7 linked regions of the Tribolium castaneum genome follow. The protein of the gene in region 5 binds, or shares a complex with, the protein of the main gene of each other region. Links are inferred from orthologs where the notes say so. Each region holds a gene or a part of one and is shown on either strand. Other genes may lie near its edges.

Region 1 (3,833 bases), on a different chromosome or scaffold from region 5:
ATACTATTTTCAGGCACATGTGTTAAATTTAACGACTGAAACCATTCACTGCTTCTGTGGTAGTAGTAACCTTCAATTGTGGCTTTAGATTTTTGAAAACAAATGTAATAGAAACCGGCAAACGAGGCCCCACTTATGTCTTTAATCGTATGGTCAGGAACAAGAAAATGCTCCTTCCACCGCATAAAAACATAGTCGGTGTCGCCGAGCGCCTTATAATCGAAATTGTCCGAATTGAACGTTTTGGCGTATTGGGAAAACGACGAGAATTTGCTCTGCAACAAGAGATATGTTAAGAAAATAATTATACAAAAAAAAATATATTAAGATAGTAAGCTGTGACTGTCCATTAACAGTTGACATTTGGGTTGGCGCCTTCTAGATTGTGAAAATAATAATTATAAGATAGTGAGCTGCGATGCTTGGCTACTTGTAATTTTTGAAATTGTGCTAAAAACAAAGATTTGGGTGCTCACCCAGTGTTTTTTGTCCACGTCCTCGTCGGCGTCCCACTTTCTGGTCAAAAACGGGTACTTTTGGCTGATAATTTCGCCGTCGAAAAACGTAGTCAAGGTGGGATACTCATCGGTGAGCCCGTTAATTTGCAAATAGCCACACAAATAGGAGTTTTCCTCGTCGACGTGCTGGAAAAACGAGCGAAATTTAAATTTCCCGCCATTTCGGATTGCATTAGCATATGTTGATATTTTTAGTTTTCTTTAAATAAGCGGTGAGCAAAAGGGACGTCACACGTCCTACAAGGGTTCGAACGGTACAAAGTCATCGAAATTTTGGTTAAGGGGGGCAATGGTGCGATTATTTGCAACTTCTAACCTGTAAAACCACTTCCACTTCGTACGAATTGCCTTTCGATTTCTGGAAACCTTGAAATTTGGAGCCGTTGTATAAGAGGGACTTTGTTACCCCCGGCTGTTTTGAATTGGCCGGCGGGGGAGGCGTAATATCCACCCTGACCGGCATTTTTAAAGCACTTTTGCACTCAACTGTCACCAATGTCACTTTTTTGAAAGGAAAATGGCGGCGGTGAGTCATCCGAGTCGGTCAGAGCGTTTTTGCGCATGCTCGGTGCGCAACAGGGCCATTAAATGTGTGGGCGACTGTACTCAACCGTAGTTTTGGACAGAAAAACCCATTTTTGCAATCAACTGAATCAACCCAGATTTATTATTTGGGGCAATTATTCGTTAATCTCAAGCGTAATTAACACGTTTTTTGTGTGTACGCTTTAATTACTTTTGGTTATAAGCATTGGTGGTTGCTTACGCTCATTATAACTAAACTTCTAATTAATTTATTGAGCTAGTTTGTGCAATAAAACAGTTTTATTAATTTTTTACCGGTTTTATTCAAAAAAACGTCTTACAAATTAGAGGTATTTTTATGGTACAAAACTTAGTCTTGGGATATAAAGGGGTTCTGTATGGACTCCATGCCGTCCATGGGGCATATGAGCACGACACTTGTGCCCCTACAGACCACCAAACCCAAGGCCCTCGTGTCTTCTGTTAATTTATAAGGGTCGTCTGGATCTCTCAAGTATTCGATTGTGTTGTCTAAGACGAGGTTCAAAAGGGGGTCATAGCCTTTTAAAATACCACTAGCTTCTCGGCCGCCCGCAAATTTCACCCTAATTGTCTTTTCAAGGTATTTAGAGAGGTCTAGAATCGACTCTTTACGTTTCTTCTCTTTTTGGTCACCGCTCTGATTCTACGGTAAAAATGGGGGTTGAGGGGGCGAAATGGGGCAGTTTGGGGTACGTACTTTTGATTTGTCACCTGACGATGCCATTGTTCGGCTTTATTTGTGGAATTTTGCCGATTTTGAAATTCTAACCTAGAATACGTTTGGAGGTGACGCGTGCATATGGTCTCCTATGCGCACGGAACCTTCCGATTAATTTTGAAATAAAAAAAAATAATTATCGGTTTGTAAAGTCCAGCAATTTCGTAATTAATTTTCTTAGCTTCTAAAGAATTACGTAAAAATTGACGCAATTTTGGGACACAATTTGTAGAGGACTGCTTGCGCAGTGGAGGTACAAAGTTTCAAATGAAAAATGCAAAATTCTCGGTTATCATTTATTCAAAAAAAGTTATTTACACATTGGGGCGTTACTAAAGCATTAATACATGTTAACTATTTGGGCTTCAAGCCCTGGCAAAATGTACAGTATGGCAGAAAATTGTTTGTACTGTTGGTCACGAAAGTTGTGTCAGAGTACTAGAACGTGCTCTTCGACTCCAAGACCGCACAAATAAATCGCTTTTCCCTCCTCTAACGTACATCCAATTTCCAATAACGTACACGGCGAACAATCAAACTGATAAACACTGAAAAAGTTAATTAGTTTTTTTTTCCTACCAAACGTGTGACCGACTTACGCAATTGTTAAATTTTCGTGTAGAAACAAATCGTCGTTACTTCTAACGACGTGATTAACAAGTGAGGGGTTTATCGAAGGATTGATTTCCATTAACGTACAGTTTTTAATTAGGTGTTCTTTGACGGTGCTATTGCATTTAATTTTTCTAATTGTACCGTTTTTATCCGAAGTGAGGAGATTTAAACTTAATTGAGCGGCTTGTGCGCGTACTAGTTTCGTCAAAACGTAAATTGTGATAACTCCAGATAGGAAAATATCACAGGTGAAAATACGATGGACGTAACATATTGAACTATTCAAAAATTCTTTAGTAATTAAACACCTAACACCAGTACTGGTGAAAGCACACTGTAAACAGTTGCACTTATTGTTCAGTGTTGGTATTTCGTGGTGGTTGGGGACCCATTCTAGTGACTTTGGGTGCTTGATTTTTGAGAGTTGCGGGTGTTGCGTGAACAGGTCGTAGACGTCCTTAAAATTAATGCATTTGTTTTTATTAAGTTATTATAATTTTACTTAAAAAGTTATAACCCGCTATTTACATAAGACAAGGACAGAGCTATAGGAGTTCCGATAGGAAAGAGTGAGAGAGAAAGGGCGAACTATTTTTCGTAATACGAACTTGGGCGCGTTATAACTAATTAATTAGTTAAATACCTGGTTAACTCCAGTGAAAAAACTGGTCTTGAAGAACCTCGTAATGGGATGCGTGTATAAATAGGGCCACAGACTGTTCCAAAAAGCCGAGTCTCGATTAATAAAATCCTCGAAGAATTTTTGCCGATTTTCACTTTTGGGCAGCGTTTCGTGCGTCCAGCCTGGCGCGAAAATCGCCATTGATAAGTTGTGTCTCCTTATCATCTGGGCGGCCTTGAAACAGTTGAATTGACCGCCTCCGAAGGTATTGCGACCGAAGACATCCACCCCCACGTAAACGTCCAAAGTCCGATGCTTTGCAAATTCAATCGAATTGTGGATATTTTCCTCAGTCCATACGTAATTGAGGAAAATACCGTCACAATTATCGAAGAAAAATTTATTAAGGGGGTTGAGCTCATTTTGCCATTTCAATTCGCCCGTTTCAATGATACTGTCGTACCAGATGATTAAATGGTCGGGGTTTTGGGTGTGCGTTTGCACCCCTAAGTAGGCAACGAATTTTTTCAACATTTCGGTGTCTTGGAGCGAGTTTTCGATGTTGAGGAGCCACCCGTCGAATTGGAAAATTTTCAAAATTTGGGTCAAAGAAGTTGCGAAAATTCGCATCGTGTCCTCGTCTTTGAAAATCTTCTCGCAAATTTTTTTCCCCGGCTCGAATTCTGTTATCAAAGTTCCAAGAATTTTCACGCCGTTTTGATGCGCGGCATTTATCCAACACAAAGGTGGGATTGTGATTAGGTGGTGACTGAAGTAAACGAAAATATCGATG
Region 2 (3,713 bases), on a different chromosome or scaffold from region 5:
CTCTTCATCGCATCTCCAACATTTTCTTGATTAAATTCGTTTGTTGGCGGCCCCGGATTTGCTAATTAAAACTGTTATGAAAGTTAAGTAAATCCACCTGAGAATTGTATGAGAATTTTCCTTTCATCACATTCAGAGAAATGAGCAAGGCTCCGGCTGTCTCCGTGAGATTCAATTAAAACTTAACGAGATTAAAAGGATTTTGATTGATTAATATTTTAACGGATTCCTTTTTTACGAGCGAGATTGACGGCCGACAATGACCGCTTAGGATTTTTCGTGATTTGAAAAGACGTAAATAAACGGGGAATTTGATAACGTTACATAATGAAGGTTGTTTCAGTTGAAACGTGATCCCTTTCTGAAAAATATCCTGAGGCGATCAGAAAAGTCTTCTAAACTAATTAAGCCAAGTGATGGATTAAATAAGTATTACAATTGAATTTTTCGTATTGGAAAAACGAGAAAAACTTGGAGAATTTCCAGGAAAAATAAAAATAGAACTCTCTCGAGGGTGGCATTATTAAAATGCTGTTTTGACATGAAAAAGACGGGTCAATATGACGTTGGAAAGTCTCTTAGTGTCATCTTCGGAGTTTGATTGCCGATTTTATCCCAATATTACCCGTCACCTTTCACAAGATTCTATTTAAAAAATTATTCCATTTAATTTGGGGATTGTAGTTATAATGTCCATTGTTTCGGGCACAATTAACTAATTAAAGCGAAATCTTATAGGGCAATACATTTCAGCGTGTTCCTTTGACCTAGTCAAGGGTGGTTGCTTTAAGACTGTTCCTCAAAAAACTCATTTTCCAAGGAAATGACATTAAAATCGAGTGGGTGTTAATTTCGATCCGGATGTTTTCCCGGAAAAACTGTCAATGGGGGCAATACCTGACGCTGATTGTGATGTGGCTCTGGAAAACTCGTCACTACACGAAAATTTTCACTGGAACGTCGCCGCCGAGACGCTTTAATGCCAAACTAGCGAACGTTTCCAATATTTTCCCGACGGTGGAACAGTGGCGGCGCGCATGCGACATTCTCTAAGCTTTTCATACACTGTTACGGACAAACCGCTCGAGGAAAACAATACGAATTGAATTTCTTTGTGAATGAACGCACAAAAGCGACGACGATAATGCTTTCCCTCCTATTACCCTAATTCACTTATTTCCACCCTACCCCAAGCCCAATAAAAGAAAACTCGGTCAGAATCGAACGCTTTTATTACAAATAATTATCGATTAAGCCAAAATTACAAACTAAATCCTATCTAGAGCCTCCAACATGACGATACTGTTTCCCCGGATCACCTGTAATAAACATAACCTCAAATTTCAAATCCACACTAATTCAAAAGAAACGTACCACCATCCCTATATTGTTTTTCTTGCCATCCCGGCACTCTTCCACACTCTCGTCCACCACTAGATTCATAAAAGGGTCGAAACCGCGCAAAATACCAACGACTTGTCGGCCCCCATTCAACTTCAAACACAATTTTTTGTCCATAAATCTGCAAAAAAACTAGTAATACGTTCTACGACAAAACAAGACTCACTTTTTCAATTCCGGAGGATGTGCTTTCGACATTTTGTGTACTTTTTTGAGTTTTTAAAATTTAAAACGCTCTTCAAACGCTTGACACAAACTGACAGATTTGACAGTTGCTAAGTACAGGGCATGATCAGTTGTCCCAATTTTTTCACATTTTTAACGTATAGTTAATGCAAAAAATTAAACAAAACAAGTCATTGGTTTTGGTGATAACTGTAATCAGAAATCGGTAAGTGTTGCGTTGAAATAAGGCAATTGTTGTTTTGGTGATCGTGTCCTGATTGGTGTGGGCAACGTTTGGCGTCGAAAATCCCTCTGTGCTAGTGACATTTCGGTGCATCTTCGGTTTGACGTTACTTTTTTATCAACAAATTTGTTGGAATAACCGCTGGAAAAAGGTTCAGTAAAGGTAAAAGCAGTACCAGTACCGCCAGATGTTAACATTTGCTCCTCCGTTCCCTCTAGTAGTGCTCCTTCTAGCCACTACTCTTTACGCCTTTTCTAGTCTAGTATCGCCCCCATGGAAGAGGCCGAAGTGACACCGCCCCCGCCGCCGTCGCTGAAAAGCCCGTCGGCGTCGAACGAGGGAGACTGGACGTGTCCGGACTGCGGTAACGTAAATTTCGCCCGCCGTAACAACTGTAACCGTTGTTACAAAAGTCGGGGGCCGGTGTCGGCGAAAAAGCGCAAATTGGGGCACGAGATCGGTAAAGCGGCGGCAGAGAAAAGTCGCGGGTTGTTTAGTGCCGACGATTGGCAGTGTAACAAATGCGGTAACGTGAATTGGGCGCGGAGGCAGCAGTGTAACGTTTGTAACGCCCCCAAGTTTGGGGAGGTGGAGGAGAGGACGGGGTTCGGTGGGGGGTATAACGACAGGGGGGTGGTCGAGTATAAGGAGCACGAGTCTGACGACGAATATGACGAGTTCGGGAGGAGGAAAAAGAAGAAAAGTGAGGAGGTGAAGGAGATGAAAAATAGTGTAGATAAGGTGGAGAAGAAGGTTGAGGAGGAAGAAGAGGAGGAGCAGGAGGAGGACGAGGAGGAGGATGACGACGACGGAGACTTATCGAAATATGATCTGTCGGATTGGGGGGATTCAGGGGAATCGAATAGTAAACAAAATAACTCAAGATCTAAGTCGAGGTCACGGTCTCCACAACACGAAAAAAAAAAGTCATTAGTCGAGTCGAAATTTTTATAGACATTTAGGTGAATAAATCTGCTTTGTATGGTGGTAAATTCGAGTTAGGTATACACAATAAACCATTACTTTTATTGGTGCCTGATTTACATTCTTCTTCACCTGAAAATCGAATAGATTCTAGCACCAAGTGACTAACGAAATTTGTTAGTTTTTGTAGTTGTTACGCTGTAAAATATTTATCGTCCACGAGTAACCCATATTAATTGTAAAATTAACAGTGACAACTGTGCGTTCTTCAAATCAGGACTAAAAATCTTGATTTGAGTAGATCAACATGTGTAAACGTGAATCCTTTAGGGGGATTTTAATCTGATGTTTTCTTGTTTCAGTGACTTCCTAAATTTTCATTGCGCCAACCTAGGATTTTCTTTACTTATCCATATAAGCACTTATGTACGTTTACAATAATTACAATAAAGATACAAACAATTTATCGTGTTTTATTTACATTTTCATGATGGTGTCAAATTGGTGGATGCGCCGGGAAAACAATTTTGATTTGGAATTAAATATAGCGTGTGTCAGAACTAGCTCCCCAGAGAAAAAGGTGTAAGAGGGCGAGTCAAAACAAGAAATTATTTGAAAAAAAAATGTATCTCAACTGGTAATCGAGTTAAGACATCCTAAAGTTGGGCCTCTCCGAGAGCAATAGATTAGAGATTTAGTGAATGCTTGAATAGGTATTTTTGGTTGTACTTAAGACCATTTTAGAAATAATAAGTTCTTGTATTATAAATTTTGTCAAAACGTTATTCAGATTCTGTCAATATGACTGTAGTAGTCACGTTCATAATATTTACGTATTTTTAAAGCCTGGTAACCTACTTTAATTCAAGATCATTTCTGAGGTTGAGCTTCTGGGATTGGTGATTTTTAGAATCCTATTACTCGAACAACGTTCAAGACGGCTAATTTTTTTCAAAATTTACAGATACTCAATTTTTTA
Region 3 (5,233 bases), on a different chromosome or scaffold from region 5:
GCGAAGAGAATTTTGGGAAATTGAGATTATTTTAGCAATAATTGTCTTAATTGTAACAAATTTATAAACGAACAAGCGCTTATTGTTTGGCTTGGCCGCGGCCGCTTGTGTTTAGCTTAGGGACGTTTGTTTGGGTCAAAAATGTATCCTAGATTCTAAAAGAAATGAAACCTTTTCCCCGTGATAGTACTAACACTTTGTATTTTAACACGTAAATAATTAGGGAAATGTAACCCTGTGATTGTTGAAAACAAAGTCGCGTGACTTTAAATATTTTTATTGTAAAAAAAATTGTTATCACCTAGAAACTCATATTGGTAGGCCAGGGTTCGGTATCGTTCTGGACAAAAACATCGTCCTCGGAGGCGCTCGTCCCTGGCGACGTGTACGACGTCTCCCCCACGCAGGTGTAGTAGCTCTCCCTTTTGCTTAAAGACACGTTGCGTCCGATGCAACTCAGGCCCTCGGTCGCCCTCTGGTTGGACGGGTCGAGCCGCAGGGCCACGTTGTAGTGGTGGAAAGCCTCGCTGTCCTTGTTCAAATTGACGTAGCAGTCGCCCAGCATCTGGTGGATGCGCGAGGTGGGGTGCTGTTCCACGTGCTTCAGCAGGAGCTGCCGAGCTTGGTCGTACTGCTGCTCCTGCTCGAGCAACTCCACGAGCATACAGACGGCCTTAGTGGAAAACGTCTTGTCTTGGCTCACGGCCTTCTCGAGGAGGTTTCGCACCGTTTTCCCGGACGTCATCGGGTCTTTGAGTAAAACGGAGGCGTGCAACTGCAGTGAAACTATTTTTTGTAATTGTTGTTATTTGAGGAATAAATAAGAAAACAACTTAATGGCGCCTAATCCGTTTCGACACCTAAAGCAAAGACAACGTCCCATCCCGATATTCCTCTCAGATAGCGCATTAGTTTGCCAGATGAAGGCAAACGAAAAAAAAGTGATACGTTTTTAAAATAATTCGTCCCAAAAAAACAGTCTAACAGCCAATTCTCTCTTTACCGTATTACAATTTTTTCACTTACCGTAACCGAATGTGGGCTGAAATTGAGCTGTTTGCACGCATTTTGCGCCATGGAGTCGGCCTCCCTCAGCCGATTCATCTTCACATAGCACTCGACCAAACACTGGTGCAAGTCGTATCGAAACGGACAGATCTGGATCGCTTCCGTGCAATGCTGGGCGGCATCCTGGTACTTGCTGAGCTCCACCAGCGTCTTGGCTTTCAGCAGCAACGCCTCTATGTTTTTGGGCGAGGCACAAAGCGCCTGCTGTGCGAAATAAACGGCTTTTTCGTGCCGTCTCGTCGAAAACATCAGATTGCCAATGACCACCCAATGCTCACTCGTCCACAGCGACATATCCGAGGTCGGGATCAAATCCTCCAAATACTCAACGTGTTCGGAAGTCCCCGAGCTCGCCAAAAGCGTGGCCAGTAAATCGCGACCAAAGACTAGGTTCTGGTCGAGTTTAATCGCCCGCTGGAGGACTGCAATCGCCGTCTCGTCCTCACACATGTAGTGGTAGCAGTAGCCCAGGTTGACCAGCAGCGACGTGTTGTCTTTGAGTAGACCGTGGCTGTCCATGCTTTTGTACGTTTGGGCGGCGTTTTCGAAGTCGCGCGAGTACAACTGGGCTTGTGCTTTGAGCCAGAGGTTTAGCCAGTTTAGTTCGGAAGTTGCCTCCACCATTAGTGCGTTGACTTCGACCCCTTTCACCCCCAGCTTGAGCAAGTTCTCCACGGCTTCGAGGGCCAGCGGGCACTCCCGGAGCACCTCCTTGTAGCACGTTATGGCCGAGCGCTCCATCCCGGCCTCCCTGTACAAGTTGCCGAGCGCCATGTTGACTTTGGGGGTCCGCAGGCGGGCCTGAATCGACTGCAGCATCTCGATGGCCCCATTCACCTGCTTCAGGGCCATGCAGCACTTGTGTATCTTGAACCTGATCTCCACATCGCTGGCCAGTTCGGGCTGACTCTCCGTGATTTTATTAGACATTGACTTGGTTTTTAAGAGGTGTTTGCGGAGCTGTAAGGCCTGGCGGTACAAACTCTCGCTTTGGGCGAACTGTTGCGTCTCGTACAGCGAATCGGCGTACAGCAACATCACCTGGAACTTCTGCAAAGGGGGCAAAAAGTCGGGCTTTTGCTCGGACGCCGACAGGGCCAAGTCGCACTAAAAGCACAGTTGGGGGCTCAGACTCCCAAAAGGGGGCTACAAACCACTCGGGAGATGTTCGAGTGCAGGGCAAGCTCGTACATCGCCTGCAATTGCTTCAATAAGTTGGTCATCTTGGCTTGGCAAATGTGGGGTTAGGTTTTTGAACTCGGCAAATCCCGTAACGGCGAAACCACCAATCCGGATTTCGCGCACGTCAAAACGTTGCATTGACGTTGTGTACGGTAGGTATTTCCTTCAAATTTTGTAAAAAGGATGGGTTCTAGTAGCAAAAAATACAAAGAAAAAGAGAAAGAGTCTCGTAAGCGGCGCCACCACAGCCCCGGCTACACCGACGAGCATGAGCCCCCGAAGGAGAAGCGCCACCGCCACAAGAGGCACCACAGGGACAAGAAGCGCGACGCGAGGGCGAAGCACGACTACGACAGCGACGGTAAGCACCCCGCGTCCAACTTTCCCGTTTGAATGATTTTTTGCCAGGATCCGACGTGATCGAGGTGATTCCGGACGATGAGCCTTCGGGCTCCGGGCAAAACGCTGAGAGTCTCTCGATTGAGGAAACGAACAAACTGCGGGCGAAGCTCGGCCTGAAGCCGCTCGATGTGAGTTCGGGGGACAAGTCCGAGAAGAAACGGGATGACGGGAAGAAGAAGGACGATTGGGGCGAGTTTTACCACAAGCCGGCGGAGAATTGGGCGGATAAGCACGAGAGGGAGAAGCTGAAGGGCAAATTGACAACGATTCGGGAAAAGCGCCAGCTGGAGAATAAGCTGGGCAAGGTGAAGCTGCTGGGGGACAGTGATAGTGATGATAATGTGGAGTCGTGGGTTGATAAGAACCGCAAGATTGAATTGGCCAAGAAGGAGGCTGAGAAAAGGGCGAAAATGTTGGAGGAGTTGGATGAGCAGTTTGGGGTCAGCGAGTTTGTGGAGAATGAGAAGAAGGAGAAGAGGAAGCAGAGATACACTGAGAGGAATTTGAAAGGGCTGAGGGTGGAGCATGATGTTGATAGCTTTGCTGAGGAAAGGGATGTTATCTTGACGCTGCAAGACAAGGGCGTCTTGGATGAAGACAAGGAGGATGTCCTGGTCAATGTCAACATGGTTGAGGACGAGAGATACAAAAAGGTAATTTGTTACAAATATTTACAGTGAATGATTATTTATCATCAAATTTCAGAACGTTATAAACAAGAAGAAGAAGATTTTGTATAACGCCTACGAAGACCAGGAGTACGACGAGTTTGGCAACCCCAAAGAAAAGTCGCTTTTGGCCCAATACGACGAAACAATCGACGGCGAAAAACGCGAAAGCTTCAAAATCGGTTACGACAATGCGGTTGAACGTAAACAAGCAATCGTGCAATCAATTAAGGAAAAACTCGCCAAAAAAAGAATCGAATCGATTGAAACAAAAGATTTAAAACTCGCATCGGAATATTACAACGACGAGGAACTGTCCAAATTTAAAAAACCCAAAAAGAAAGTCCGCAAAATCCGAACTAAGGGAAAACTGACCGCTGATGAATTGGAGCAACAAATTAACAACAAAGGCATCGAGGAAGTCGGCTCAAGACGCCCAAAGAAAGAGCTCGAAGACTTGACCATTGACGACATCCCCGAAATGGAATACCCCACGGACGTCAAACTCGAGGACGAGAAGGACGATCTCTTGGAAAAAGCGCTGCACAAGACACGCAAAATCAAACAGAAGGAGAACCTCGTTGCTGAGATTGTTAAATCAACGCCGGTTAAAAGCGAAAGTGAGGAAAACCTGGAGGGGAGTATTGTTCTGAACGCCACGGCGGAGTTTTGCCGCACTTTGGGCGACATCCCAACGTACGGCAAGTCCGGCAACCGCGAGGAAACCGAAGATTTGATCGATTTCGAGCGTGATCTGAAAGACGAGCCCGAAATGGACGAAGTCGAGCAGGAGGAGAAAACCGGCTGGAATTCAGTCGATCCAAACGAGCCGCACGAAAGCCCGCAAATTGCCCCACAAGAGGTGCAAATCCTCGACGAAGAGCCTGATGTCAGTACAGGGCTTGGGGCAGCTTTGAAGCTTGCAATGAGCAAGGGGTACCTGGACAAGGAGCAGAATAAGAGGCCGTCGAATTCGCGGTTAGCGCATTTGCAAGCCAAGCATTACTCTATCGAGGACAAGACCTACGGGGATGAGGGCGATCGCGCGAACCGCCGGGAGAGGTACACTGGCCCCATTATGGAGTTTAAGGAGAAGGATGGGTTTAAGCCCAATGTTAAGTTGGAGTATATCGACGATGATGGGCACGTGTTGAACTCGAAGGAGGCCTTCAGGTATCTCTCGCATAAGTTCCACGGGAAAGGGCCGGGGAAAAATAAGATCGAGAAGAGGATAAAGAAGGGCGTGCAGGAGCAGTTGATGAAGAAGATGAGTTCGACGGATACGCCCTTAGGGACTTTGAATATGCTGCAAGCGAAGCAGAAGGAGACGCAGTCGCCGTATGTGGTCTTGTCGGGGAACAAGCAGAGCCAGCAAACGGCGGTTATTTCCAAAAGTCGGCGTTAAGTAAAATGACTAAGAATAAATAAATACTATAATTTTGTGTGAACAAAATTCAGCGCTACTCTAAAAAGAAGTGGCAATTTTAAATTAAGGAAAACTGGGCATCATTGTAAATTGTATAAATTGTTTCATTTTTATCAGTTTTTATTTACAAAGTCCTAACGAAAAGTGTTACGAAATGTTTTTGTTTTGTAGATCGTTTTTAAGGGACGGGTACGATAATGATAATGGTTTTATGAATAAGTTTTAAAGTCTGGCTCCCTACGAGTACAAACGGTGTAATAATTTTTGCGATAAATGAAATGAATTAAAAGTGAGTTCCGTGTTTTAATTAGAAATTACCAATTTCCCATATTTTCCAACAAAACGGTAATAAAGGAAAATATTGAACAGAAAGTTATAGTTAATTAAAAAAATAAATGGTTGATGACCAGCTCTCGACGTGACCTTTCACGTCACTTCCGTGAGCACCATTATCAGTCATGATTAGGATAGGGATTGCACGGTAATC
Region 4 (3,534 bases), on a different chromosome or scaffold from region 5:
GCATCCCCGCACATCTCGCCACCCAATCGCGTTCAAACAGTCCGCATCAAGCCACACCTCCCGAACCGGTGCAAGACTTACCTCCACCACCGCCCATACCTAAGCAAGCCTCGCCCCCCAAACAACAAACTCCACAAGCCCCGCCTCCGCCACCACCTCCACCAATGCCGTTACTGAACGGCCCGACGACTAGTCCCCCATTGGTTAACGGCGATTTGGCGAAAATTATAAATAGTGCGTCGCCGCCGCAATTGACACCTGTCAAAGATCGGCCAAAGCAGGCGCCGCCTATCGTCGATCCCAGGAATGATTTACTCAAAGCTATCCGAGATGGGATTAAGTTGCGCAAGGTGGAGAAGATTGAACAGAAGGAGGTGGAGAGAGGGAACGGTTTCCACGATGTTGCGAGTATTTTAGCTCGGAGGGTTGCAGTCGAGTTTAGCGATTCGGATTCAGGAAGCGATTCGGAGTGTGATAGTGAGGGTTGGGGCGAAAATGAAACGTCGGCGTGACATAGAAGGAAGGCTAGCACGGCTAGTCAAGTGTATTGAAGCAACGAATTTTCAATTTTTAACGAGCAAACTTTAGCAATATGCCAAATTTCCAGTATTATTGAGGCATTGCATGATAAGCTTATTAGATTGCGTTTACAGTGGATGGTTTTGACTTGGGTTGAGATGTACATATTGTAATGAACGTTTTATTTATAAATTAAGTTGTATAGAGAATTATTTAACTCGTACTATCCTAATACTCCTTTTTAATATTTTAACCAATTATCAGGAAATCTTTGTAAAATACGATATTTAATGGGTAAATAAACATCATGTCAACGTATGTGTTTTATTTACGAAGTGCGCATTGGGGGTGAGACCAAGATCACGCCGTCACCTCGGACGAAAAGCATGGGAATATTACGTTTCGTCGTTCTGTAAACCTCTTCATATGTTTCTTCATCGATTTCAACCGTGGTTATGGTCTCTTCGGCGTCGCTCAGGATCATGTTCATGTGTTGGTCATAAGCCTGGAATTTCGGTTTGTGATGGATGGAACTTTGTTAGACAACTTACGTGGAGTCTGCCCCGGATTTCTCGATCGTTTCGCATTTTTACATAAATACGTTCGTCTAAACTTAACCTCACTAAATCGAGCGGTTCTTTGACGGTGATTGAGGGAATCTGAAAGGAGTGGTAGGTGAAATGTAATTCTAAATGAAATGGGTCTTACATTTTCTAAGTCATCTGCCATTCTCACGAAAGATGATACTTGTTTGTAATATTAAATTAAACAGGCCAAAAGTTAGGTTAAGTTGTCGTTACAGTGTCGCCACAATAAGAACACCTTTTTCGATTTTAACGATATTCGGACAGACCGGTCTTGGCATGTAATAAAATTCGGGCGGAAGGTGTTTTTTTGAATCTAAAAAAAATTTGTTTTTTAATTAAAGCCACAGATTATTACCGCGTTTTACTTTTTAAAATAATACAATCACTCGTTTTAGGGATCATGCATAGTTTAACACTCACTAACACTTAGAAATCGGCAGATTATACAGGGTGATTCTTTTAGGACCTACATTAGAGACTTTTTAACTTTAAAAAAAACTAGTGCTTTAAAAGCGACTATTTGAAATTCAACTAAATTATTTTCAAAATTTCTGAGCTTCCGGAACCACGACAAATTGGCGCCAACTTTAAAATTTTGAAGAGTAACTAAACATTTTTATTACATTTTTTAATTCACTCTCTCAAAGTGAGTAAAATTTATTAAAATTGTTGGTACTTATCTGTCTTAGTTTTACATATGTCAATTTTTTTGGTAAAATTTTTATTTGCAAGGGTTTATTTAAATTATCACAGCCTTTGAACCGTTTAGGAGAAGTGAATATATTTTTTTTTAATTCGATTATCGGAGTTTCGAAAAGTTTTCTAAAATTTTCAAAATTGTCAACTGTCAAAATTCAAGGCTAGTATGATTTTTTTAAATGGTTATTAAAAATAAAATCGGCTATAATTCAGTTTTTTCAAATGGATCGACTCTATTTTCTTAACGGCAATCGAAAGAACAATATTCATGGTGATTTTTATCAACACGTCCTGTACCTTACCTGTTACAGTTTTTGAAAAAATCACAAATAACGGATTTTACTTCGTAATTTTTATAGTTAATCAAGTAGACCTTGCAAAATGGTCAACAATTGTCAAACTTCGACACTTTACTTAGTTTTTAGCTGGTTCATTATCAAATAAGCAGCAAAACATTAATATTTAATTATGGTTTATGCTAACTTAGTGAATAACTCAGTCAGTTTGCCATCGAATTTTGAACTTTTTGAGTGAAAATGGGGGACAGTTTTAAAATTTCTGTTAATCATTAGTACAATTTTATCGTATTTTTTGAAAGGTTACTCGATTAAAAATGAAAATAATTACCTTGAATTCGGTTTTTTGAGATTATTTCAAAAACTGTAAGAGATAGATATAGAAGATGTTAATAAGTCTGCATAAAAATTGATGTTCTTTTGATTGCCATTGAAGTCATTCCATTTAAAAAAACTGTTCTATAATTGTTTTTTAATTATCATTTTCAAAATATCATAGTAGCCTTGCAATTTGACAGTTGACAATCGTAAAGATTTCAGAAGACCCTTCGAGCCTTTGGTTATCAAATGCAAAAAGAATTATTCACTTATTTTAAAGTACTCAAGAGCTATGATGTTTTAAATAAACCTCTGCAAATAAAAAATTTATCAAAACATTTGACATATTTCAAAAACTAAGACAGATAAGTACTAACAATTAGGTTTACATTTTACTCAGTTTCAAAAGGCGAATTCAGAAACACAATAAAAATAGGTGGTCACCATTTAAAATTTCAAAGTTGTCGCCAATTTCTCGTAGTTCCGGAAGTTCAGCCATCTTGAAAATAATTTAGTTTTAACTCAGAGTGATCGATTTGAATCGTGTACAAAATTTTAAAGCTCAACCTATGTTAGAAGTTAAAAAGTTTGTAATATAGGCTCTAAAAGAATCAGCACGTATATAAAATTACTGGTTGCTAAAGTCCATTCGGAATTAAAATCAATTTTCAAATTGTTTCAACGTTGGCAACTCCATTTAAAATTAGTCGTCTATGTCAATGTGGCAGGGTTCCAACATAATTCCAAAATTTTTGACACTGACAATTAATTTACAAAAAATGAGGTTTATAAGAGAAAGATTATTAGCACCGCACTAGACCTAGCTACCAACCTAACAACAACTTTCTATAGCTTAAATAACCAAAAGCACGACCGACATCCCAATTTAGGGAATTCCAGCAGGTGGATTGGCAATGATTATTCCACCAATTGCATTTCCGTTGATTCCGTATCTTATTTTCATTTCCTTAAAATAAGACGTCGCTGCATCTACCACTACTGGCTAATAACGTAAGCATTTTTAACTTTACACAGTTTCTGTTGCCCTTCATAATACATTTTCAAAGAATGGACTTCCACACTTTGTCTTCAAGCGACTCCATTAACCAAATAAG
Region 5 (5,515 bases):
TCGGGGGAGATGTCAACTGACATGATTTTACCGTCGTGACCTGACAGGGTCTTCAACGGTTGCCAGGTCCGATTTGTCCACAATTTCGCCGTGTTATCGTACGATGAAGTAATTAGGTAATCGCCGCCGTCCCTTTGAAACTTCACCTCCGAAATTAAATTCGTATGAGCTGGGATTGTGTACAAGACGGAACGTTTGCGCAAATCCCAAATTTTGCAAGTGTTGTCTTCGCTAGACGTGGCAATGTGGTAGCCATCAGGGGAAAAATCTATCCCTAGAACCGCCTTTAAGTGACTCTCCATGAACATGATGCATCTTCCGGTCCTCAAGTCCCACACACGTCCAAATGAGTCTAAACCACTGTTGGGAAATTAATTATTTGTCACAATTTACCAAAAGTATTTACCCTGTGGCACAGACCGATCCATCAATCTGGAAGGAAATACAATAGACAGGTTTGACGTGTCCTTCCTGGTGTAAAACTTCGGTGCATTGCTGCAAATCCCACAATCTCCAGGAACAGTCAAAGCAACAAGTCCCGAGAAACCTTCCAGAGGGATGAAAGCCCAACCGGGAGACACGATGTGGCATATGGCCCTCGATATCAGCGATCGGTTCCTCGCTTTGAAAATCCCACAATTTTACTGAACCATCGGCTGCACACGATGCCATATTGCAAATATTTTCCTCCTGGCTGATTGTTGCTCTAGGGTGGAAAATAATAGCACTGGCATTACAGGCGTGACCTTTCAGGGTCTGTTTGAGTGTGCAGTCGGGCACTGACCACACTTTACACAACCCGCTCCTTGAATCAAACAAATAATTTCATTTCACTTATTAAATGATAATTACCATCCAGCTGTGGCTAAAAGTTTCGAATCTGGACTAAACTGGCAATAGGCAATAGGTCTCGAATCGCCAATCTGACTCGAATAAATCGACATAATCTGGAGTTTTTTCTGTATTTCCTGCTTCTTGGCTGTTCTAGTAGCCGTTGATAAATCCTTCGCTTTTCTGGCTTCCTCAAGCCGGGCTTTGGCCCGCGGCAGTGAATAGTGCGCTATCCATAATCTGGCTATTCGCAAACTTTCGGGGCCTTCATGATACCACGTTGTTTCGAGATCTTTTTCGAAATTTTTACGTTCTTCTTCGGCTTCGCGTCGAATGACTGCGTCTTCACCGATACGACTTAGTATTTCACGGAGGCGTGAACGCCGATCTGCCGGTCCTTCCCCGAATAGACAGATCGGTTCTCCCAATTGGCGAAGGTTTCGTTTCACTTCGGCGTCATCGGTGGAGACGTTAATAGAGCGCGCTTTACGACGACGCTCGAATTCCTCCAAGAGGGCTTGCTTGTCGCGGGACATGGCGTCCTCAAGCTCCATGTATTCTGAATAAATTAAACGTAACAGTATTTATTAGATTCAAGTGAAAGATTTTAACATAAAAACAGGCACCTAAGCACGCATTTTTAATAATTGTGTGATAATTGCTGTTATATAAACATTTTTTTTATTTACCATTCGTAGGTACACCTACAAACTGTTCTTTTTAAAAAGCAAAAATTATATAAAGCTGGGGCCTATGGCACAACTTTTTTCAATTTAATATTATTGTGCATTTATGGCATTAAAGGAGTTCTAATACGAATTATTTATTTAATAGCGCAATAAAGCATTTGATTTAATAACACCGCGGCTGTCAGTTTCAAAGCCAAAGTGCAAGTTAATCGCTGTATTAAACCTGATTTTTTCCTGAATCACTCAGGTTTTATATTTTTTTAAAAATCTGTAATCATATTATTTCGCATGACAAAGCAACTCGAGTCAATATGTGAACCTAGTTATTGACTGGGCCGTTAATAAGCCACTCTTGAGCGCTTCAAATGTCACTAAATGTCGACTGGCAAAAAATTTATCACAAGAATTTGGAGAAAATATTGGCTACAATGTTGAGACTTTAACCTTCTGCTTACCAGCTTTTTTTGAGATAAATTACGATGAAATTCATTTAAACGATCAGTTACAACGATAAATTTTACTCTTAATACTCTCATGTAATAAAGATACCAGGGTAAATTACTCGGTTTTTTATTTTTGAAAAAATAGTAGTTCATAAAGGAGTTTTAGCAAAATCAGTGGCAAAACTGTTAAGATAAAGTTAACAATATACTCAAAAAATGGAATACAACTGGACAGGTGGAATTAGTTTTACTGGTTGCATCAGATTTCAGAACTAACTCATGACTGACTCACCCTGTATAAATAAATAAATAATAAGATTTTAAGTATTCTAATAAAAAACTTTGATTCCATGACTCAAAATTTGGTTTTACAGAAATTACAAAAAACAGAACCTGGGTTTTGAGCCACGAGGCTCCATTAAGGAATAAGAAATATATAATGTACCACTTGTACTAGATTTTTCGTGAATATTTTAGCGCTACATTAAACTGATGTTGACTTGAGCTTTAGCTCATTTGTGTGCGAGGTTTTGGCATTTGGACGAAATTACGGATGCCAAAGTAATACCTGTGGAAATGTGAACCTGTGGCGGGTTCGCCGACGTGCTTTCGGCCTTTTCATTGCTATCATCGTTCCCATCGCCGGCTGCTAACCTAGCTCTTTCCGCTTCCTCCAACGAGCCGTAGTGAATATTTTTGGTTTTTTTCACGTAAGGCGCGTCCTCATCGTCGGACATGGTGCTAAAAATTGAGCAAAAATGAGTATTTGTGCAAGTTAATTCGTAAAAAACGTTTGTTTACATGTTATCACTGCTATCGGTTCAAAACGTAACGTCAAGTTGACATTTGTCGCAAAAAAAGTAACCAAAACCGCCTGGTGAGTTCAGTGTAGCCAACGGCAAGTTTTTACGATTTCTTCCACAAAAGAAATATTTCTGTTTTCTTTACATAGCGTTTTGCTATCTCTGTCTAAATTTTTTTCCAAAAAATTCCATGAGAGAGAGAGATTATCAAGTTCGGTCCGGAAATCTTAGTAAATGTACGATGTTGTGCCGCGGAAACCGCCTAAATAGCCGTGCAATGTCCGTGCTGGTGTTTTGTGTGCGAAAATCGTGAAAGAATCGGTGAATTTGTGCGAAATCGGCGCGACGACCGATCGTTGAACTTGAACAGTTGATAGATTTTCTCTTTCTTTCCCAGGCTCTGAAAAATCTCAAGTTTATAAAAATAAATATGAAAGGCCTAATTACAGTACAGTCCGAGTCTGTGTCGGTTTAATTTTTGACCCCGTTTTGGATCTGCGTTAGTCGAGTTTGGTGCCGTTAGTTAGGCTGAAAAGCCGTTGCTCTCGACAAATATTTGTGTGTGACGAAAAACCTCGACAATTCCCAAGATTTTTTACGCGAGAATTTTTTAAGACGTGCGGTATTGATTTGCCTTAAAGGCTTGGCCCGGCGAATATACGGACTATACATGGTTTATAGGGGTCTTACGTGGTTTCTATTGGCTCACTGACTCATAAAAAACTAAGGGACACATTTTTTGTCGGAATTTTCCAAATGACTGAACATTTACATACGCGTCTCCAAATTTTTGAGAAATCCTCGGCCGGACTTTGTATTGTTAAACCTCGCAAAAACAGTCGACTTGCGGATGCGTTGTGCCGTGCCAGTGAAGTGGTGGTGATTTAAAAAACAAACGCTCGCCCAAAGGCCCCAAAACCGACGAGTATTGATTATTTCGAAGGTCTCACGCTGGTGACTCATTACTTTTTGGTAAATTCGTCATCTCCAACGCGAACAGTCGGAAGGAAGCTGGACGAACATAACCAAAAATGCTGCCTCAACAGTATTGTCTAAGATGGAGGTACCACCATTCGAACTTGCAGACCATGTTCTCGCAGCTCCTCGAGAAGGAGGCCTTCTGCGACGTCACCTTGGCCTGCGAGGGGCGCACCATCAAGGCCCACAAGATCGTCCTCTCCGCCTGCAGCACCTACTTCGAAACCATCCTGTCCCAGTACGAAGAAAAAGACCCCATCCTCATCATGAAAGATGTCAAATATGTAGATATTAAGTGCTTGGTCGAGTTCATGTACAAAGGAGAGATCAACGTCGACCACGTAAGCCCCCTTTAAAAAAAGCAAAACCCTTCAATTTTTCATGACCCCATGAGAAACTCCACTTGGCCCGCAAACTGCCAACAATCGATTCTCCTCGCAACGTCAATAAAACCCTAGAGTTCCTTTATTGGGAGAGTTGGGACACTGAACGTCAAACCGAGCCAATTTTGTATTATGTGGATAGGGTATATATTTCTATCCTTTTTTATTAAAATTTTTGTTAGTAACTTATGTCAAAGGTTTATGTCGAAAATAATTTCAAGGTTATAATTTTTGTCAAATGCATAAAATGACATAATTTTACGTCAAATTTAACCAGGGACGTAGGAAACGTAGATATTACCTACCAATATTAACGTTCACATTTCTGAAATTTTTCAATATTTATTTTAATATTAAATACATAACTTAAAACATACTTCAATGCTAAAAATGCTTTTCTTTCAGTCACAATTTTTAGTAAAACATCTCTTCCCAAAAATTGGTCATCAAAAACCCTTCATATTCCCTGTCGTCTTTTTAAATTTTCTAAAAAATGATATTGAAGGTGTTCTCGTATGAAAAACGTAACAAAATCGTGAATTCCCAATAACTTTACAATTTGAAACAGAATCTAAAGTTCACGTAGATGCTAAAAGCGGCCAAGCAGCGACAGGTTCAACTTTCCTAAAAATTAGAACCAATTTTGGGTTCAAGTACCTACGTATTTTGTAAATACATAGACAAATTCCCAAAATCTCATAGATTTTGTACATAACATTATTTAGACGCTCAACTTTTCCAAAAGCTTGTTAATAAAAATGTAAAACTTGGCTGGAAAGGTTCAATTTCTCTCTCTTTCATCGATGATTACCATTTCTTAAAGTTAAGGAAAAAATGTTTATGATGAAGAGTTTAGACGTAAAATTCTTGTACTTACAAAGAAATCTCTTTTAAAATGTGGAGTTCATATAAAAAAAACAGTGAATTGACGACGACTGCCAGTCTAAACCATTTCTAAACGCAGTTAGTCGACGAAAAATGGAAACATTTTTTGACAAATTTATTTGACTTTTCGCCAAATTTCAAGTGTAACACCACTGATTTCTATCCCAATTTGTTTTTTTTACACATTCCAACCGACGTATATAAAACAAAATTTCGAAAATTGACATTCAGTGTCCCAACTCTCCCAATATAGGAACTCTATAAAACCCCAAACGCCCCATAATTATTACAAAAAAAGCAATTAAAGCACCAACAAGCCCAATTAAACAACAACCAAATCAACAAACGATCGTGTCAGTCTAACAGACACCGGCCCCATCTCATTATCCATGATTTTTAAAAGCCATGGAAACACATGTGTTTTATGTTTAAATAAATTACGAAGCGCCACCTGTTGAGTGGTGACATTACGAAAATGGCACTAGGCGCGCGATTCAAACCCG
Region 6 (3,641 bases), on a different chromosome or scaffold from region 5:
ATTAGCTTCTACGTTAGTTGAAAATTGTACAAATGAGGAATTACACTCAGGGTGACTACATGATACAGTCGGCTTTAATTTCAACAGACTTTAACGGGGATTAGTGCACAAGGGATTATGTTTATCCATATTTCGGAATAATAGGCATAATTTATGTATCGTGCAGTCAACCTTTTTAAATCAAAATAGATATTACAAATTGTGGTTGATGAATAATGAGTTTACGATTCGTTGACTATAAGAGATGTTTAATGCAAACCCTGAATACAGTATTTTCTGAGATTAAACTTAACAAAGTTTCAAAATTCTGTAGAGTAGTTTAATCAGAAACTTAAACTTGAATAGTATTCTAACTGTGATTAAAAATGTCTATTCTATTTCTATAAATGAATAACAGTACAACGGTGTTTTATTTCACCCCCACCTTAGTTTAGTGATTCGTAGAATGCGCTGGAACAAACCATTTTGCTTTACGACTTTTTTGAGTTACGACTTTTTTTAGTGAAAAAAAAATGCTGCTGGCCGGCTCTCTTCAAATTATGGAACTATTTTGGTCCAAACCTATATAAATGTTCCGGGTACCGGAAATCGAGACAAAAAATTGGATAAAAAAAATCGAACATATGGACTTTTAGCAACTCCAGTGGGTTCTAAATTGCGTAAAAAGCTGATATATGGTAAAATGAGCCGCAAAATTCACTGGAACGAACCGTTTTTACGACTTTTAGTTATTTTCTAACGTCGTTCCATTCCTTTTTTCATTGTAAAGGCCTGGAGTAGTTGGCAACACATTATACAACAAGATAAGGTGGTTGCCTAACCCGCGATTACAAAGTAATGTTCTGAACAACTTATTTTTTTGTGTTAAAAGGCCCAGTTAGGACAAATTTGACACAAACACATCTCTCCTTAAATGTACAGTGTTGTTTTCATCAAAAATAAGAGCTTTTTATGATACAAAAAAGGGTATTAAACAAACACAAAAATGCCCTTATTTTATACTTTATTCAAATGACTTACTCTGGCATCTCTCCACCTGGAACAAGCTAAAATTTTGAATTAGTTTCAAGAATTAATTAGATACAGTATGGCATATTAAACATAAAAACGAAGCACAAAATAAAGTACCATTGTTATATTGTTCCCATTAAGCAGAATTTGGTCCAATTTAGTAATTCTCCTTCCTTCAGGCGTTGTTTCATATTCCGTTACATCCTCCAGTAACATATTGACAAAATCATCAAAGCCTAATAACGTCCCCACGATTTCCTTATCATTTTTCATAATAATATGGATCCTTGACCCTATACACTTATCCACAAGTTCTACAATAGCAAAAACAACGTTAATAAATTAATGATTATTATTGAATGCTCAAACACCGGCAGATAACCAAAAAAACACGTTACGTTTTTTTGCTTTACTCACCTAACGGAAGCAAGGTGGAAGAAGACACAGGCATGGAAGTCATTCTGACCGTTTAATAATACGTTCAAATAATTATAAATTCTTAAATTAGCAATAAATATTTGAAACAACTGTTTACATTTACAAACAGCAAAAAGTAATCAATTTGACAGTAAAAAGGATTTTGACAGGAGCTTAATGGCGCTAGTGTCGCAACTACAGCAAAAAGCTCAAGCTAGGACTTACGTTACGGAACCGAACAATTTAATAAACGATCAAAATACGGCTTAAGACAATTACAAAAAGTAGTGGCACACGTTTGTTAAGACTTTACCGCCTTATGGTTACATTTTTACGGCGTGGAATGCATGAATTGTTTTTATTTTTTATTTCTTTTGGAGCGCGTATGTGCGAGCTTGGAGCTCTTGCAGTGTAACAGGTCATGCGCTTTGCGGCTTTCTTCGGTATTTCAGTCGTTTGTCGTTTTCGTCAAATGCCGACCGAGGTGGGAGTTGAGTGTGTTGTAGTTGTAGGTTTTGTGTTTTTTGTAATAAATAATCGTATTTTTAAGTGAACTTGTGTCTAAAATCGTGACAATAATGTTCGTGGAGTAAATTTTGGAATTTAAAATCATCAATTTGTAATAAAAGGTCAGTATACTCCAGTTAATTGAAACAATGGTGTTATTTTGGTTTAGCCTATATTTACGTTCTCTAAGAGCTTTATACCCCTACACATTGATTTATTCCTCTTTAATATGATTTATAACGCTCTATTTTTATAACACGACAGCTCGAGAGCGTATAATTTATATCGGGGAATAAATGGTAATTGTAGCAGAATGTGAATGCTTAGCTATTTTTATTTCTCAGGAGTTTTTCTTTTATTTATATTCGTGTTACAGTTATCTTGGAAGAGTTCAGTTGCCCTGTCCATGCTGTTTAAATAAACACATTAAAATGCTACTTGCAGCAAACAATATTCTATTATGATAACTTGACCACTGTGGTTGACATTATCATTATGTGGATTATTATAATGAAATTGTGATTAGACACGACCGATATACCTATGGGAATAATAAACATTCTTTGGATATACCGCTAACAAGGAATGTGGCCAGGAAATTCCTGAACGAATTTGTATTAATCATATTCTATTTTTCCCAACGTTCCTCACACAAAGTGTTTGTTTCCACAGATTTTTATAAAGTTCACGTTAGTTCTAATGTATTCCAATATTTGTGGCGAAAGAAAGTAAACTCATCTCCATTTCCCTGAAAGCTATTAAGAAAATGTCAAGTGGATTTCCACATTTTTACTTTCAGCATATTACAGGTACACAGGAGGAAAGCAACCAAAAGACATGCAAACGACAGGATATGCCGTTGAAATGGGCATTTTTAGATAAAAGACAAGTTATTTACTCATGTCAAACGCAAATTGTTTTGATTTTAAGCACAAAAAGTGTACAAAGTAATGATTACTTCCAACACCAAACATAGGAACTTAGACACTTTGCTAAGCAGTAGTGTTTATAAATCATGACGTTGTTTACCTAAATATCAACGCGGAACATAAATCTATAAGTGGGGAATATCAACACTGATGTAGAACTATGAATAAAATTTGAATAATTTTGATGTATCGATTTCAGCATTGTGCATTATTACCGATGCCAGAACGCATATCATGAGCATGAAAAGCAGGAGTGGTGAAAGTAATAACTTTGACAATAACTGTAGAACGCATAATAGGATGGACTTAACGGACCATCGCGTATAAAAACGCCATGATATGTTTATACAAAAAATACGCTTAATGCTTTATTGTATTCTAAATTCAAAGAACAAAGCGCCAAAATACTTTCAAATTTTTACATGATAAGCTTCTCGTGACTTCCTCAAGGTGAGTCTAAAATATAAACTAATTACTACACAAAATTCAGCGTTTGCTATTAAATATTCTCTGTGCATGTGATTTTTTGTGACTAATTATTATAGTCGCTGCACAGAAAAACTATTACTCCTTATGTCATTCATAAAATAACCGATGCTCAAATGGTGTTTTGGGCAAAAATTCACGTAAATTAACAAATAAACGTATTTTTTACGTACAGAATCAGTCGTGTGGTGGACTTTCAGTGCTTCGTAAAATTTGCTTGAGACTGATGTCTGGAAAACCAAACATAGAATTCAAATGCAAAATAGCTGAACACATTTGTGTTTTAACTAA
Region 7 (3,636 bases), on a different chromosome or scaffold from region 5:
CGACTTGATGAGCGTGACCTTGAGCGATCTCGCTCCACTTTCGCCGATTTTTCCACATGTTCCTCATACTTCGCGTTGTCTGAAACCTCAAAATCACTCAAAACCCCACAATTGAAGGCAAACTCACTTATGACCCTTGAACACTTATTATACTCCTCACTCGTGACTGGCACAATTAAAAATTCATTTAAGCTTAAAATCTCATTCGTGAGAGCTGTCTTCACTATAACTCTGCAATTTTCGTCATCCAGACCCTGGACTTGGCAGTATTGACTTCTGTGATTGCCGGCTATTATTTTACCGTAAGCCCCCTTCACAAGCTGGAGCGCTTTACCCTCCTTATCTACACTTTGTGAAGGGGTGCTGGAATTGACCATTTTATTGGCACCCAAGCCCAGGCCTTTGGGGCGCAACTCTGGGACTTTTGGGACCTCAGATCTAGAAAAAATCATTTTCAGGATGTGTTTTAGAAAAGTTAAACCAACTTTTTGGTCCTTTTCCCAATTGGCATTCCCTCTTTCCAATTCATGCCACGTAACATCGCCATACCAAAATCTGTAATTGGTACACTTTCGTAGTCGTCGAGAGACGACTCCTGTGCCCCCTCTGCCACAAACTTGTCGTCATTTAAAGGCAAGGAGTAGACTTTTGTCTCGCTTTGTACAGTGTTGCGAGTCTGTGCCTCTGAAAATTTTATTCACACTAGAAAATCACTTGAAACATAGGGTAAGTACCTCGGATTAACTCTCTTGCCGCTAATTCGTCAAGAGATAGGGCAGAGTCTGGCACAGAATTTGCCTCCCCTGTCTCTTCTTTAACTTCAGGTTTGACGTGTTTTTCCCTCGCTTTTTTTATTTGGTCTATTAATTTGTTTGATGGGCCTTGGATTGGTATCACCAACGGCTCATTTGTCTCCTCAACGGCACTAAAATGAGGTTTTTGGCAAAAATAACATAACCTCAAAAACGAAACATACCCTTTTATTTTAATTGATTGACCCTCTAAACAGTCAATTAGCTGTATCTTATTTTCGGGTTTCGGAACACTTGACCTGATTTCGGTCTTTTTACTAATTTTGCTGAAACCGAACGATATTTTTTTATTTTCCATTTCACGATTATTTACGTTTTTGACAAGTGAGGTTATGGGACCACCAACCTGACAAAATAAAAATTTAAACTAAGTTTTATTTTGTGCTTTTATTATTAAAATTTGAATTACACTACTACATTTGGCCACATTGTACAATTGTGACCGGGATTTTGGGCTTATTGTTGGGCCCCGTGGGCACGTTTTCGATTTTCCGCATGACGAGAAGTCCGTCAATAACGCGTCCAAACACCACATGTTTGCCGTCCAGGAAATTACACTTTGCACAAGTTATGAAAAACTGGCAACCGTTGGTGTCTTTGCCGCTGTTTGCCATTGATAGAAGTCCAGGACCGTCATGTCTTAGGTTAAAATTTTCGTCGGGAAACGTTCCGCCCCCATATATACTCATAACGCCGGTCCCATCGCCCTAAAAATATTAATTAGTTGCGGAATCGCATCCCGTGATTTTTACATTGACGAAGTCGCCCCCTTGGATCATAAAGTCCTTGATAACTCGGTGGAAACTAGCCCCCTTGTAGCCCAACGGCACGCCGTCTTTGCGGAACTCGCCGGTGCAAAACTGGCGGAAATTATCGCTGGTTTTGGGGACCGCGTCTGCGAATAACTCGAAAATCATTCGGCCGATTTCCTGTAATCGAAAAATACAGTTTTCGGAAATTTTGGGTTATTGGTACCGTAGTTCCGACGGAAATGTCGAAAAACACGACCGGGTTCGCTGGGTGCTTCAACTGGGCTTGAATTTGGTCCCAATTCGGCATTTTTACGGTTTTTAGTTCCCTAACCTCGAATAATCAAAACAACATAACCTCAAACTTGCGACTAATGGGCGCCATATTTAAATTCAAAATCGTATGCTTTATAATAATTTTATTTTAAAAACTAGAATACAGTTTATTTCGGCGGGGACCTGGTAAAGTGCGGCCAGTTCTGTAGTTCGCGGTACAGCTTTAGGCCCGGACTTTCCGTCGCGCTGACTTGGCGGGCCCCAAACAGTTTGAAACTTTTGCCCAACTCTCCCAACTCAACCCCGCATTGGAGAAAATCTTTAGCGGCTTGTATCTGCTTTTTATTTGGAAGTTGAGCTGTAATAAAAGGCTCGTAAAGTACGAAAATAACACGAAAAACAACCTACTCGTGTAATTGCCGATGAAACCGAGCCCCAAAGACCGGGAGTTGTACCCACGTGTGTGCGCCCCCACTTTGTGCCAACCTGCGCCCTCGTAAATCTGGCCGTCACCACCCACTAAAAAACTAAACCATAATTAAAAAAAAAAAAACAAAAATCATCAAATTTACTTGTATCCAATATCGTGAAAATCTAGATTTTCCATGTGAAAATTCTGAATGTTTCGCAAAATCGCCGCACATTCTTCCTCAGTGCTGCAAGTGTTGGTCACCGTGTGGTGCACGACCACGTTTTCGACAGGGATTAGGGCGTAATCCACTTCCAAAGCAGTGCGAGCCCCCCATCTAGTGCGACTCACGATTTCGGGGCACACTGCCGGCAAGTTTGACTCTGGAAACACCTCATTTAGCAATGGATGGGGTTTGAGCGGTGGTTTTACCTGTTCGAGCCAGAATTTGGTGCAAAATTGAGAAAATAATCACGAACTTTCGTCCCATATTCAACTTTGCCTTGTATGCAAAATTAAAATTATTTATTTAATTAGCACGTCCTTTAATGGAACAACACGAGTAACCTTCGAGATGATAAACTTCTGCATTTATATACGGTGACCTGTGGGGTCTATGACTTTATCTTCTTGTTATGGTTTTTATCTCTGGGTTGTGGGGATTCCCGATCAGGGACTTCACCAACGGTGACTAAAGTTAAATAAAAACAAGAGCAACGAATTTAATTTTATTTTTGTGCTGGATTTTGCAGTCTTCTTAGACGTCCTTATCACTATCAGTTCTTATCATGTTTTATTAAATCATAACTTAACGTAATTTTCGTTACGCAGTTATCAAGTCACTTAGATACGGGGGGCAACTCAGTCAGTTAATTCGCAAGGTTTGTGCGGGAAAAAAATTTTGGTTTTTAAAATTTTGCAAAACTTGTTGAGAGGCGCTGCCCGTCCGTTGTTTACTTCTTTCAAGGTTGCCTACACTGACCGTCTGGAATTTCATATCTTGACATTTGTGATTCTGCGAAAATGCCTAAATAAGGTCATTTTCCTAAAAAGTGCCGATAATTCGTGATGTAGTTGAGAAGTTTTGCTTAAAATTAGTATTAGAACGGCAGCTTATTACCATGGATGACCTAGGTAAGGACACAAACGCTTCGCTTATCCTAACCACCTGCCTCATAACCTAAATTTGTCCCAAGTTAACACATTATTAACAGGCGTGTTATCAGTAGCGATTGAAATTAAATTGAATATTAATCTTGATAACACCAATATTTGGAAATTGGTGCAATAATTAAGTGGGAGGTCAGCGATCAGCGGTTGCAAAAATGTTGACTTGTTGCAATTTTGTAAACAATTCGCCTGACAGGTGTCAATTAAACTGACGTAACCC

Evidence for each region.
Region 1: U4-U6-60K (region 5) and LSm7 share a complex: the UniProt entries of both Homo sapiens proteins name them as parts of the precatalytic spliceosome. The link is inferred for Tribolium castaneum from reciprocal best matches to the Homo sapiens genes PRPF4 and LSM7.
Region 2: U4-U6-60K (region 5) and SNRPG share a complex: the UniProt entries of both Homo sapiens proteins name them as parts of the U4/U6-U5 tri-snRNP complex. The link is inferred for Tribolium castaneum from reciprocal best matches to the Homo sapiens genes PRPF4 and SNRPG.
Region 3: U4-U6-60K (region 5) and U4/U6.U5 tri-snRNP-associated protein 1 share a complex: the UniProt entries of both Homo sapiens proteins name them as parts of the U4/U6-U5 tri-snRNP complex. The link is inferred for Tribolium castaneum from reciprocal best matches to the Homo sapiens genes PRPF4 and SART1.
Region 4: U4-U6-60K (region 5) and LSm3 share a complex: the UniProt entries of both Homo sapiens proteins name them as parts of the precatalytic spliceosome. The link is inferred for Tribolium castaneum from reciprocal best matches to the Homo sapiens genes PRPF4 and LSM3.
Region 6: U4-U6-60K (region 5) and U6 snRNA-associated Sm-like protein LSm5 share a complex: the UniProt entries of both Homo sapiens proteins name them as parts of the precatalytic spliceosome. The link is inferred for Tribolium castaneum from reciprocal best matches to the Homo sapiens genes PRPF4 and LSM5.
Region 7: the proteins of U4-U6-60K (region 5) and peptidyl-prolyl cis-trans isomerase H are in contact, whole or in part, in a crystal structure (PDB 1MZW), measured with the Homo sapiens proteins. The link is inferred for Tribolium castaneum from reciprocal best matches to the Homo sapiens genes PRPF4 and PPIH. Residues at the interface, in NP_004688.2 of Homo sapiens: Arg113, Gly116, Glu117, Pro118, Ile119, Thr120, Leu121, Phe122, Gly123, Glu124; in NP_006338.1 of Homo sapiens: Phe14, Arg26, Phe46, Cys47, Thr48, Gly49, Pro57, Ile58, Gly59, Tyr60, Lys61, Gln173, Cys174, Gly175, Glu176, Met177.

Annotation. Positions count from the first base shown.
Region 1 is NC_087399.1:1,124,838-1,128,670, forward strand, and holds LSm7 (U6 snRNA-associated Sm-like protein LSm7), read right to left. Parts: upstream 1,943-3,833; 5' UTR 1,810-1,942; coding exon 1,783-1,809; intron 1,729-1,782; coding exon 1,414-1,728; 3' UTR 1,342-1,413; downstream 1-1,341. Other genes in the region: glucose-induced degradation protein 4 homolog, read right to left, coding at 1-275, 477-644, 835-981; ENGase (cytosolic endo-beta-N-acetylglucosaminidase), read right to left, coding at 2,234-2,351, 2,403-2,875, 3,062-3,833. UniProt on the Homo sapiens protein: Plays a role in pre-mRNA splicing as component of the U4/U6-U5 tri-snRNP complex that is involved in spliceosome assembly, and as component of the precatalytic spliceosome (spliceosome B complex).
Region 2 is NC_087395.1:18,415,807-18,419,519, reverse strand, and holds SNRPG (probable small nuclear ribonucleoprotein G), read right to left. Parts: upstream 1,728-3,713; 5' UTR 1,600-1,727; coding exon 1,568-1,599; intron 1,523-1,567; coding exon 1,375-1,522; intron 1,320-1,374; coding exon 1,269-1,319; 3' UTR 1,215-1,268; downstream 1-1,214. Other genes in the region: zinc finger Ran-binding domain-containing protein 2, read left to right, coding at 2,084-2,764. UniProt on the Homo sapiens protein: Plays a role in pre-mRNA splicing as a core component of the spliceosomal U1, U2, U4 and U5 small nuclear ribonucleoproteins (snRNPs), the building blocks of the spliceosome.
Region 3 is NC_087395.1:24,228,532-24,233,764, forward strand, and holds U4/U6.U5 tri-snRNP-associated protein 1, read left to right. Parts: upstream 1-2,433; coding exon 2,434-2,611; intron 2,612-2,658; coding exon 2,659-3,305; intron 3,306-3,357; coding exon 3,358-4,725; 3' UTR 4,726-5,039; downstream 5,040-5,233. Other genes in the region: APC7 (anaphase-promoting complex subunit 7), read right to left, coding at 302-775, 1,027-2,175, 2,223-2,291. UniProt on the Homo sapiens protein: Plays a role in mRNA splicing as a component of the U4/U6-U5 tri-snRNP, one of the building blocks of the spliceosome. May also bind to DNA.
Region 4 is NC_087399.1:10,142,995-10,146,528, reverse strand, and holds LSm3 (U6 snRNA-associated Sm-like protein LSm3), read right to left. Parts: upstream 1,386-3,534; 5' UTR 1,249-1,385; coding exon 1,228-1,248; intron 1,179-1,227; coding exon 1,071-1,178; intron 1,025-1,070; coding exon 848-1,024; 3' UTR 830-847; downstream 1-829. Other genes in the region: SCAR (actin-binding protein WASF3), read left to right, coding at 1-512. UniProt on the Homo sapiens protein: Plays a role in pre-mRNA splicing as component of the U4/U6-U5 tri-snRNP complex that is involved in spliceosome assembly, and as component of the precatalytic spliceosome (spliceosome B complex).
Region 5 is NC_087397.1:1,344,010-1,349,524, reverse strand, and holds the start of U4-U6-60K (U4/U6 small nuclear ribonucleoprotein Prp4), read right to left. Parts: upstream 2,906-5,515; 5' UTR 2,765-2,905; intron 2,705-2,764; 5' UTR 2,701-2,704; coding exon 2,532-2,700; intron 1,391-2,531; coding exon 853-1,390; intron 806-852; coding exon 407-805; intron 361-406; coding exon 1-360. Other genes in the region: zinc finger protein 131, read left to right, coding at 3,798-4,085. UniProt on the Homo sapiens protein: Plays a role in pre-mRNA splicing as component of the U4/U6-U5 tri-snRNP complex that is involved in spliceosome assembly, and as component of the precatalytic spliceosome (spliceosome B complex).
Region 6 is NC_087394.1:33,640,284-33,643,924, forward strand, and holds U6 snRNA-associated Sm-like protein LSm5, read right to left. Parts: upstream 1,609-3,641; 5' UTR 1,472-1,608; coding exon 1,429-1,471; intron 1,326-1,428; coding exon 1,129-1,325; intron 1,047-1,128; coding exon 1,017-1,046; 3' UTR 987-1,016; downstream 1-986. UniProt on the Homo sapiens protein: Plays a role in pre-mRNA splicing as component of the U4/U6-U5 tri-snRNP complex that is involved in spliceosome assembly, and as component of the precatalytic spliceosome (spliceosome B complex).
Region 7 is NC_087395.1:17,965,908-17,969,543, forward strand, and holds peptidyl-prolyl cis-trans isomerase H, read right to left. Parts: upstream 1,951-3,636; 5' UTR 1,872-1,950; coding exon 1,788-1,871; intron 1,742-1,787; coding exon 1,565-1,741; intron 1,520-1,564; coding exon 1,226-1,519; 3' UTR 1,181-1,225; downstream 1-1,180. Other genes in the region: G-patch domain and KOW motifs-containing protein, read right to left, coding at 1-79, 128-438, 486-684, 735-925, 977-1,110; peptidoglycan-recognition protein 2, read right to left, coding at 2,005-2,195, 2,246-2,364, 2,410-2,629, 2,679-2,736. UniProt on the Homo sapiens protein: PPIase that catalyzes the cis-trans isomerization of proline imidic peptide bonds in oligopeptides and may therefore assist protein folding. Participates in pre-mRNA splicing.